Arabidopsis thaliana: one gene and its partners. The protein of the gene in region 1 interacts with the protein of each later gene in a pairwise test. Each region holds a gene or a part of one and is shown in the gene's direction. Other genes may lie near its edges. The genes, in order: BZS1, HAC1 and AT5G12980.

Evidence for each region.
Region 2: the proteins of BZS1 (region 1) and HAC1 interact in a two-hybrid assay, tested with the Arabidopsis thaliana proteins (one large-scale study listed by BioGRID).
Region 3: the proteins of BZS1 (region 1) and AT5G12980 interact in a two-hybrid assay, tested with the Arabidopsis thaliana proteins (one large-scale study listed by BioGRID).

What each region holds. Positions count from the first base shown.
Region 1 is NC_003075.7:18,204,898-18,208,652, reverse strand, and holds the start of BZS1 (B-box zinc finger family protein), read left to right. Parts: upstream 1-1,968; 5' UTR 1,969-2,231; coding exon 2,232-2,417; intron 2,418-3,049; coding exon 3,050-3,592; 3' UTR 3,593-3,755. UniProt on the Arabidopsis thaliana protein: Acts as a positive regulator of seedling photomorphogenesis. Plays a negative role in brassinosteroid responses.
Region 2 is NC_003070.9:29,722,502-29,726,256, reverse strand, and holds the start of HAC1 (histone acetyltransferase of the CBP family 1), read left to right. Parts: upstream 1-1,621; 5' UTR 1,622-1,905; intron 1,906-2,132; exon of another isoform or gene 2,133-2,135; 5' UTR 2,136-2,272; coding exon 2,273-2,466; intron 2,467-2,626; coding exon 2,627-2,741; intron 2,742-2,878; coding exon 2,879-3,140; intron 3,141-3,224; coding exon 3,225-3,698; intron 3,699-3,755. Other genes in the region: AT1G79010 (Alpha-helical ferredoxin), read left to right, coding at 1-32, 154-245, 323-436, 683-750, 833-944, 1,024-1,119. UniProt on the Arabidopsis thaliana protein: Acetyltransferase enzyme. Acetylates histones, giving a specific tag for transcriptional activation.
Region 3 is NC_003076.8:4,106,622-4,110,376, reverse strand, and holds the start of AT5G12980 (Cell differentiation, Rcd1-like protein), read left to right. Parts: upstream 1-2,144; 5' UTR 2,145-2,237; coding exon 2,238-2,405; intron 2,406-2,846; coding exon 2,847-2,918; intron 2,919-3,093; coding exon 3,094-3,183; intron 3,184-3,305; coding exon 3,306-3,348; intron 3,349-3,581; coding exon 3,582-3,688; intron 3,689-3,755. Other genes in the region: CLE40 (CLAVATA3/ESR-RELATED 40), read left to right, coding at 609-702, 802-848, 1,042-1,143.

The sequences.
Region 1 (3,755 bases):
CATTATTTAACACAAAACAAGGACAGTGATATATCGATGAATGATTGGATTTTGTTAGGTTACACAAAAATATGGAAACAAATTTGAAATTAATTGGAGTCCATCGATGAATAATTGATGGTAGTAGTTAATTGGTAAAGGTCCCATGCATACTATTTTATAAGAAGGAATGTCTAAAAAGTGCACGAAGAACCTTTTCAAAAAGTCCAGTAGTACATCCATGTGACTCAAGATCTACAAATATTATATAAAAAATTTGATCTCTTTTAAAATCACGCAAAGAACCTTTTCTTTTTTTTCTTTGAAAACGATTTGTTACCTGGTTTGTTTGTTTTTCTTTATGTACATCAAATGCAAACCAAAAGACGATATGATTCCACGCAGCAGCTTGGATAAAAAAAAAAAAAAATGAGATCAACAATATCGTTTTTTAGTACCAAGTCCTGACGAAGTTACTTCGTTGAAACCCAAACTCAAAAATTCTTAAAAATTTTCTTCAAAGAGTCAGTCAAAATGAATGTATAGATTTTTAATGCAAGAAGGGAAGTTGACAAAAAAAAAATAAGTAACGAGGGGAAAGATTCGAGAATCGAGAGAGATCATCCATATCTTCTTCCTCTAAAAGTGTTTTTTGTCGTCTTCTTCCTCATAAATTATATATTATCTAAAATTATTATTCTTCAAAAGATCAGATCCACTCTACTTATTTTATATCAAAAGTATTCAGCGTTTATTATACCAAAAAAAAACTCATTTAAATTCGAACAATATGGCCGACATGACCGCAAAGCTTATATTAATACGAGTATGTTTGGTTATTGGGATTACTACGAGAACATTTAAGAAATTTCATTCATTAAAAAGATACATGAACAAGCGATGATCATGTCTAGCCTGTTAATACAATTAGATCATGTCTAAATCTCAATTCTCAACGGTCATTAAGGCCACTTTATAACGATTACAGCATATTGTACCATTTTCAATCAAGTTAGACAGAACCGATACAAACCACCGGAATAGAAACTGAACCAAAATCTGTAAGAATAAATTGAAGTTCATAAAGCTATGGTTTTTAAATAAGCTATGGTTGGTTAGGTTTATACCGAAACCAATATCAAATACATGGCAGTGTTTGTTGAGTGTATGAAGAAGATTGGAAAATGGATTTGCCATTCAATAATTTATACTATTTGTTCAACTAATACACATAAAATCTATATAAAAAAAAAGAGCGGCGATATTTATTTATTGAGGTAAAAAAAAAAAAAAAAGGAAGTAGATATACACATGGATGATGGAAGACAAAAGCTGGCATGAAGAGCTGGCCATTTCTCAAAGTTCCCCCACCTTTTCCATTTCTTTAATTAGTTTTTATTTCGATTTTTTTGTCGTTTCTATTAATTAGATTAACTAGCATCTGACTAAAAAGATGAATTTTAGACCAAAAAGATTGTACTATTAAATTCCACTTTTGCACTTTTTCTTCCATAAGAGCCTTAAAAGTTCCCACTTCTAGGCCTCTTTACCTATTTCGGTAATATAAAAGAAACAATTAAACTGATTCATCATTTTTGTTTTTCCTTACATTCGTATAAATTACATAATATTTTTCTAAAGCATTAAGAGTTTAAGACTCATTTAAACTAAAGAAACAAATGAGCTTAACTACCAATTAATAGTTCTCAGTGTTATTAAATGAAACAAAAATTAACTAACTTAATCATACTAGTACTACCGTCAAGTTCCTATCAATTATAATATCTGCCTCCTTCTATGAAACCGAAATTTAATGTAATTTGTGATTAAAACGTATACTAATTGACTTACATACCCGGTATGCTTTTGTTTAAGTTCCCTGAATTCTAAACCAGATCAAACCGGGTGTGAAACCAAAACCAAAACAAGTCAATTTGGGGGCATTGAAAGCAAAGGAGAGAGTAGCTATCAAATCAAGAAAATGAGAGGAAGGAGTTAAAAAAGACAAAGGAAACCTAAGCTGCTTATCTATAAAGCCAACACATTATTCTTACCCTTTTGCCCACACTTATACCCCATCAACCTCTACATACACTCACCCACATGAGTGTCTCTACATAAACACTACTATATAGTACTGGTCCAAAGGTACAAGTTGAGGGAGAGAGTGAGAAGAAGCAATTTTGTTATATTCAAGAAACAATAAAAAATAAAGTTATTTTTGTAATACAGAGAGGAAAGAAAATAGAAAGATGAAGATTTGGTGTGCTGTTTGTGATAAAGAAGAAGCTTCGGTGTTTTGTTGTGCGGATGAAGCAGCTCTTTGTAATGGTTGCGATCGCCATGTTCATTTCGCCAATAAACTAGCCGGGAAACATCTCCGGTTCTCTCTCACTTCTCCTACTTTCAAAGATGCTCCTCTTTGTGATATTTGCGGGGTACGTAACAACAAAATTTAACACTTCTCTCTTTTTTTTTGCCTTTCTTGATAGAATTATAATCTTCACTTGGAAAATTTGTGAGCTTTTAGATATGTTATAGTATTGATGGAAATCTGGTTTCATGAACGGATGTTTCGGGTGACCTGAGTCACTTTTTTTTTCTTCTTTCTTTCCGAGATTTGTTTGTTGGTTGGTGAGAAAATGATTATTTGGCAACAAGTTTACTTCCTTTCCTAGCAAATTTGAGGTTTCACACAATTTTTGACGAGGAATTTTATGGCCACGACCAAATATTACTTTTCTCAAAAAGAGAACAGAGATTGAGCTTACCAAACACCTTGGTGATTTATTTGGTTACACACTAATCAAACTTAAGATATTAACCAATTAAATCGAGTTATTAGTTATTACGATATTAAAATACTTTCTTCTTTGGGAAGGTAAGCCGTGGAGAAAAGGATATTTCTTTTTGCTGTTCATTAAATAAAATAAAACAATAAAATGGAATGTTTTTTGTTTGAAAAGGTCAAATCTAGCAGATAAGTATGTTTTAAAATAGATGGATACAAAACAAGAGTCTTCTTGATTATCTATTATTAAATGGTACTAAACCTTTATACATATGACAGGAGAGGCGTGCATTATTATTTTGCCAAGAAGACAGAGCAATACTATGCAGAGAATGTGACATTCCAATACATCAAGCTAATGAGCACACTAAGAAACACAATAGATTCCTCCTTACCGGCGTTAAGATCTCTGCCTCCCCGTCAGCCTACCCAAGAGCCTCCAATTCCAACTCTGCTGCTGCATTTGGTCGAGCCAAAACCCGACCAAAATCAGTATCGAGCGAGGTCCCGAGCTCGGCCTCCAATGAGGTATTTACGAGCTCTTCTTCGACGACCACGAGCAATTGCTATTATGGGATAGAAGAAAACTACCATCACGTGAGCGATTCGGGGTCGGGATCGGGTTGTACAGGTAGTATATCCGAGTATTTGATGGAGACATTACCGGGTTGGAGAGTGGAGGATTTGCTTGAACACCCTTCTTGTGTCTCCTATGAGGATAACATTATTACTAATAACAATAACAGTGAGTCTTATAGGGTTTATGATGGTTCTTCACAATTCCATCATCAAGGGTTTTGGGATCACAAACCCTTCTCTTGAACTTATTTCTGTCGAATTATAGTCTTTTTTTTATAAGTTGGGGTTTGTAATCATGAATCCAAACCAACTTGTTGTTTTCGTTTTTTAGTATTGTTGTTTCTATATTTATCTCACATTATGATTTTAAATTTATTTTGTCAACCAATCCTCTTTTAATCTTAGT
Region 2 (3,755 bases), on another chromosome or scaffold:
TTCTAAGGAAATCTCCAAGGACTGGAATACTGGTAATCCATATGATCTAGACAATTTTACTTTTTTTCTCCTTTCTTCTTTTCTTGTACGTCTATCTTCCTTGGTGTTTTCCTCCCCGAGTATTAGTGATTCCTGATATTCTCAAATTTGTAGTCTTTGAACGGAGCATAAACACCCTGTTCCTCACAGAAATGGTCCGCGGTTTGTCGCTGACCCTCAAGTACTTCTTTGATCCAAAAGTTACTGTGAGTGATATCTTTTCTAGTCTTCCAAACTTAGATTGAAAGAAATCTGTGTTACTGAAGCTCTTTCGTGTATGCAGATCAATTATCCATTTGAGAAGGGTCCTCTGAGCCCTCGCTTCCGTGGTGAACATGCTCTTCGAAGATATCCTACCGGGGAAGAACGCTGCATTGCCTGCAAACTCTGTGAAGCTGTGAGTTTTGAGATCGATATGAATCCTTCATTTAATTTAACGTTCTCTTTGTTCTGATATGGTACTCTGAGTCTATCAAATTCATCTTAGTAATTAGGAAAGCTATTTGAGTATGAGTAATATTTACTGTTTAGTCTCTAGAGTTCTGATGAAATGGTCATATTAGCTGACAATGATCTATTTAGTGTGTATAAAAGTTCACCACGGATTGTAATTCTTGTGAGGGATACTTGTCCTTTTCATCAGGTATGTCCAGCTCAAGCAATCACAATAGAGGCAGAAGAGAGGGAAGATGGAAGCCGCAGAACCACTAGGTCATCATCCCTTTAGTTCTCATTTATCAACCATCTGCTTTCTTTATTACCCTTTCATGATGATTTGAGCTGTATCGTACAGGTACGATATCGACATGACAAAATGCATCTACTGTGGTTTCTGCCAAGAAGCTTGCCCCGTTGATGCAATCGTTGAAGGACCTAACTTTGAATTCGCAACCGAGACACACGAGGTCTGTTTTTCACATTTTCTAGACCCTAATAATTTTCGAGGCATGCTTATTGAAATTTTTGTTATATTCTCTATGATAGGAACTTCTCTATGACAAAGAGAAGCTTCTTGAGAATGGAGATCGATGGGAGACAGAGATTGCTGAGAATCTGAGGTCGGAGAGTCTCTACCGCTGAACCATTCTACAACAGTCTCTGCTTCATTCAACTTGTTTTTCCCGGGGAAACATTTTCGTTGCTTCTGTTTGAAAATAAAGACGAGATCATATGCGTGTGAAAACTCTTTTGTAATCCAGATTTTGTGCTGTGTAATTGAATTGTTTGTAACCAACCTGACTTTGATTTTCGGTTCATGAGTTCCGGTTATTAGGTGTTTTCGGTTCGGAGAAAGAGCATTTAATTTGGTCAAAGACTGAAAACAGATAAGTCTTAAGCTACAAGGGTATATCTGTACATTAAGAAATATTTGATCGGACGGACAAGATCATGTCTTTTTTTTTTTTACGGCGGACGGACAGGATCATATGCTTATAGTTTATCCTAATCTGTCCGATCTAAACATAATGCTTGTCGATTTTTTCATTTATTTGCCTTTTGGTTGCGCCAATTATCGTATTCAGACAGCAAAATTAATATTTTAATGTGTATTTTTTGTTGAGTTACTATTTTAGAAAAACAACGAATCCCTAGAAAGGAAAGAAAAAAAAAAACAAAATCCCCAAATCGAGCGAGTCCAAAGAAAAATCCCAAATTCGACGAACCTACAAGCCCAGAACATCCCCCGATTTGGGAAAACCTGAATTCATTCGCTTTTGATTTGCCATCTTCTTTCTGGGATTTGTCTACTGCTTGATCCTAATTTCTGACCTCGCTTTTGGTTTGAGTTCACACGTGCCGCATCGGCTGTTCACCGGCTTTGTTTCATTGTGCAGACTCCAATCATCGTACAATCTGTAGCAACCGGTTGGTCTCCGTCAAATTTCTCCACTTTGTTGCCAAATTTTACTCCTTTTTGTATCAATTCAAAGATTGGGGGTGAATTTTTAGGGTTTATCATTTTGTTCATTTTTGGTAACTATTTTGGGGTTTAATTACTTCTTTAGTTGATACTATGATTGATACTATCTCCCAATTAATATGAGATCAAATTGTGACAATTTCAGTTCTCTGATTACACCAAGTTTTTTTAGCAGGACATTCTCTAAGGTGCTAAATCAGGAGATGAAATTTGGATACTGTGACTTCTGGAGGAGAGGAAAGTTATGCAGTGTTTGTTACTGTTAATTACCAGAAGAACTAGGACAAGGCGACGGAGACTGAAGAGGTAGCTATGAATGTTCAGGCTCACATGTCGGGGCAGGTTTCAAACCAAGGGACTATGTCCCAGCAAAATGGGAACTCCCAAATGCAGAATTTAGTTGGTGGTGGTTCAGCTCCTGCTACTGGTGCTGGTTTAGGACCTTCACGCGTTTCTCCCGTTGACAATGACATCTTGAAACTTCGGCAGGCTATGCGAATCAGGATGTAAGCCTTTGCTTTTCTCAAGCTTTTGACTTTGGTGTCTTCCCACCATTTTGCAGTTATATTTCCTTGCTCTTGTTATACGGCTATTTATTTTGGATTGGATTCAATATCTCCAGTTTATCGCCAATCAAATCCGTGTATTTCTCTTCTTTCTTTTCAGTTTCAATATCTTACAGCAAAAGCAACCATCTCCAGCTGATGAAGCATCAAAGGCTAAATATATGGATGTTGCTAGACGCTTAGAGGAGGGGCTGTTTAAAATTGCTAACACAAAGGTATTTATTTAATATACTTAAGGAAAGGATAGGCACGTATTTGGCATTTAAAATTTTGCCACTAGATCCAGCTTGTTGGCTAATGTCCTAACTTGAAATTTCTTGTTAACGTGCTACACTTCCATTTTGAATCGCAGGAAGATTACGTGAACCCGTCAACCCTTGAACCTCGGCTGGCAAGTCTAATCAAAGGCAGGCAGTTAAATAACTACAATCAGCGACACGCTAATTCTTCTTCGGTTGGAACAATGATACCCACTCCAGGATTACAACACAGTGGTGGGAATCCAAATTTGATGATTACTTCCTCAGGTGATGCTACAATGGCTGGAAGTAATAACATCACAACTAGTGCTATGAACACTGGAAACCTGCTAAATTCTGGTGGCATGCTTGGAGGTTCTTTCACTACAACTTATATAAAATATGGGCATAAAATTTTCTGCGCATATTTTTTCTGAACACCTTTACTTCTCTTTGCAGGTAACCTGTCTAATGGATACCAACATTCATCGAGTAACTTTGGTCTTGGGTCTGGAGGGAACATGTCATCCATGAGCTCCCAGAGAAATACCGGCCAGATGATGCCTACCCCTGGATTTGTCAACAGTAGTACTAATAACAACAGCAATAATGGCCAGTCTTACTTGAGTGTTGAAGCTTCCAACAATAGTGGTGGATTTTCTACTGCTCCCATGATGGTACCTCAGACTCAGCAACAGCAACTGAGGCAGGATATTGGTGGCCAAAATAGTCGTATGCTGCAAAACCATGGAAGTCAAATGGGTGTTGGCCTTAGACCTGGAATGCAACAAAAATTGTCTAATGTGTCTAACAGCTCCATAAATGGTGGTGTTGGAATGAATGCAAAAAGCGTAGATTCAGGTACATCCTACACCAATCCTATCAGAAATTCACAGCAGGCTTATGATAATCTTCAGCGTTCAGGAATGCAGGGTAAAGTCTTTATTTCCCATCCCTAAATTGTAGTTTCTAACCTCTTGTTGTTGTGCG
Region 3 (3,755 bases), on another chromosome or scaffold:
AGGGTTAATGTAATTTAGTTTTCAATATATCGCTTAGGTAAAAACATTGTAGTATTCATCTATAAATTAGACGTTATCTATCATTTAATGACTGTTTAATTATTTAGTTGAAGACCTCCATTGGTCCATGTCGAGGAAGATAAGGAACTTACTAACAACTTTTGCTTGGCCTATAAGATACAGCGACAACAAAGCTTTCAAAAATTCCCTAGTTACCAACTGGGTTCATTAATGGGCCGATAAGGAAAGCCCACGATCTTCTAAGAAGGATTAGCCCTAGTTTCCTCTGCTTCGTTGAAAGACAACTTAAAAAATGGCGGGAAGTTGTGACAATGTTTGGTTCGACAAATAAGCGGAGACGTGGCGGCGATACGTGGCACCACGACATTTGTACGAGAATGATAATTTGTCTTGGTTCGAGCCAGCCTGTAAACGGTAATCTGTGTCCGTACAGCTTAAATCTCATCCCAAAAAGAACAACCAAAATGACGGATTTGGCCCCAACAAAGCTGTAAAACGAGGTTAAAACCCGGAACTTTCACCTTATTAGACGACGACACACCTCTCGTCACTCTTGTCGAGACTCTTACCACAAAGAGGTTTTTGAAATGGCGGCGATGAAATACAAAGGAAGCGTTTTTATCATATTAGTCATCCTTCTTCTTTCGTCCTCACTACTTGCTCACTCTTCTTCTACAAAATGTAAGTGTCATGTGATATGTTTAATAATATTCTCATCTTTATTCATCGTTTGGGTTCAAAACATGATGAATCAATCCTCTTTGTTCTTTTTGTTTCTAGCCTTCTTTTGGTTAGGAGAAACACAAGATACGAAAGCCATGAAAAAGGTAAGAAAATCTCTTCCTAGAAACACAACGCGACTGTTTTGAAGGAAATGAACAATTCGTTTCTTATTTTTACAATAAAAAGTATGAAACTTTTTGTTTTCTAGCTAGCTCTTTGCATTTGATATTCGTTTGTATTTTTCTATATGATTTTGATGCAAAGATGATTAATTTTTTGTTTTGGTACTGAAAACAGGAGAAGAAGATTGATGGAGGAACAGCTAATGAAGTTGAAGAAAGACAAGTTCCAACTGGATCCGACCCTCTTCATCATAAACACATTCCTTTTACTCCATAGATTCATTCCTTATATCTTTTTTCTGTATCTTCTGTTTCCCATTGTTGACATATTAGTTTGTAATGCTTTTCACATTCTAGTTTTGAGTTTTGTTTATCCGAATGTTAAATTTCTATTTCAGGTTGAAAATGATTAACTTCGTTATTTACTATAGAGTATTTCAATTACTTCAGCCAAGATTTTGTGGATGCTTTGGAAAGATGCCAAAGCGTAACAACTTCCAATTCAATTTTTGTGATGAGTTAGTTCTCAAGATGAAGTCGGAAGCATTCGTGACATCAATTGTATATATAAATTTTGGGTTTAGAGTGTTTTAAGTTGGTATCAAATCACAATTAATTATTCTGTGACATTTGTTTCTAGAAGAAACTTGGGAAAACCGATCTTTTGGATGTGAAGTGGTAGATTGGTTGTCTAAGGTTTTGTACTAGAATTTTGTCTGATTTTAGTTTTAAAACGGTAAGATATATTTTCTTTATAAGGACAATATGGTGTATCTAGTTCTAATTTTGTGACTGTATATAGATTTGTTGATGCTAGATTGTTTGTCAATAAAATTATTGCATTGACCTTAATTAGTTTCGGTAGCCAATCGACCACTACTTGTTGAGTTTTGGAGCCACATATTCCCCTTGCATGTTACACCGAGTGACACGACAAATTCATGTTAAACAAAAATAAAAGGATATACGGTTAAACTATTTATTGTACCGCAATAAATAAAGATATTAAATCAGTTTATTTTGGCGCCACAAACAAAGTAGATATAGTGTGTGTTTTTTTGGCTTGTTGATATCAAAATACCTATGTTTTTTTATTGTCTTCTACATTAGCTAAGTCATAATGTGAATCATGTAAATCTTATAATCTATCTTTCAGAATCTTAAGTTGTGTGAGGCACGGGAGAGTCACGTGAGAGTTTTTTTTTTTTTTTCACAAGTCACGTGAGATTTAGATTTGAACAAATCCCGTAACGGAGCAAGCGAGGCACGTGACATACACGCCCCCCTTAGGTCCTATAAATACATCTCCTCCTTTCACTGTCACAAGTAGCGATTCTCTCTGCGGCGCGTGTAAACGGTGACGGGGCTCTAATGGCTAATCTTCCTCCTCCGCTCTCCATGAAATCTGTCGCCCTCTCAGGAGCTTCTTCTCCTTCTTCTTCCTCCAACAACGATCGGAAGCTATCATCGGCGGAGCAGTTAATTCTCGATCTCAGCAATCCCGAACTCAGAGAAAATGCACTTCACGAGTTGTCTAAGGTCATCTCTCTCTCACCGAATTCTCTTACTCGCGAATTTTTGATCGTTTGGGTTTTCGTTTTCTGCGTTCTATTGAATGGAATTTCGAATGTATTTGGTTGTTTAGTCCGGTGAATCGTAGACATGCTTTTAGATTACCGACTCCTAATTCTTCCTTGCCGCAAATTTTGAGGGAATTTGTACGATTATTGTTGAGATTGTAAACCTGCATGAATAGGGGATGAAATTAAATAATCGAAATAGTTCAACACTGATTAAGGCGTTGATCTCGATTGGTGAGCAATTTAAGTTGGTATGAGGATTCTTCACTGAAGTTAAACGTCTGGACAATTAAAAAATCAAATGGTTTTGATGTTTACTGTACTCATTGCTTTTGATTTCATACATTAAGAAGTTCTTCTCACTGAAATTCATGTCTAATCCCGTGTTTCATTATTTCAGAAGAGAGAGATCTTTCAAGATTTGGCTCCGCTTTTATGGCATTCTGTTGGTACCATTCCTGCTCTTCTACAGGTACCCTCTCCTCCATGTTATTATATGGCACTTGTTCCTTTATTCTTCAGGGGAATTTATTTATTGATTTCTGGCTTCTCTATATACTGTTATAGTTTTAGCATTTTAACTTTTGAGATTTGATGTACATTGTATTGGTTAAGATCTAGTCATTTTCTTTCTTTCCTCTTTTCAGGAGATTATCGCAGTTTACCCTGCCCTATCTCCTCCAACCATGACTCCTGCTCAATCTAACAGGGTGTGCAATGCACTTGCTCTTCTTCAGGTGCATAAAATATTGTCAGTTTCCTCTTTCTTTTTTAGGGAGACTTACAAACGTTTATATATGTATGTTCAATTTGGAAGACTCTATTTTTTATTGATTCGACTCTTTTTTCGTACATCCAGTGTGTTGCTTCTCATACTGATACGAGAATGTTGTTCCTAAAAGGTACAGTCCTGTGCCCGAACAATTCTTCCTTAGTTCTCATTCAAATAATTTCGGTGTTTGCTCTGTGACTAAAGTTATAGAGATAGATTGCATTAGTTGAATACCCAACCCGTCTACCAAAACTAGTTTTAAGAGCCACCTTGTTGGTCTCTTTCTGATTGATCTCATTTATTAGATGTGTGTTTGGCTATAATATGCTTAAAGTTTAAAGTCTGTTGCTTTTCAAAATACAGCCCATCTGCCATTGTACCTGTATGCTTTCTTGAATACATCAAGCAAATCAAGACCGTTTGAGTACCTGCGGCTGACTAGCTTGGGGGTTATTGGTGCACTTGTTAAGGTATGTATTGATATTTGAGTTTTGTTTCCTCGTCTAGTTATTTAGTATGTTTATGCCAAAAAGGCAG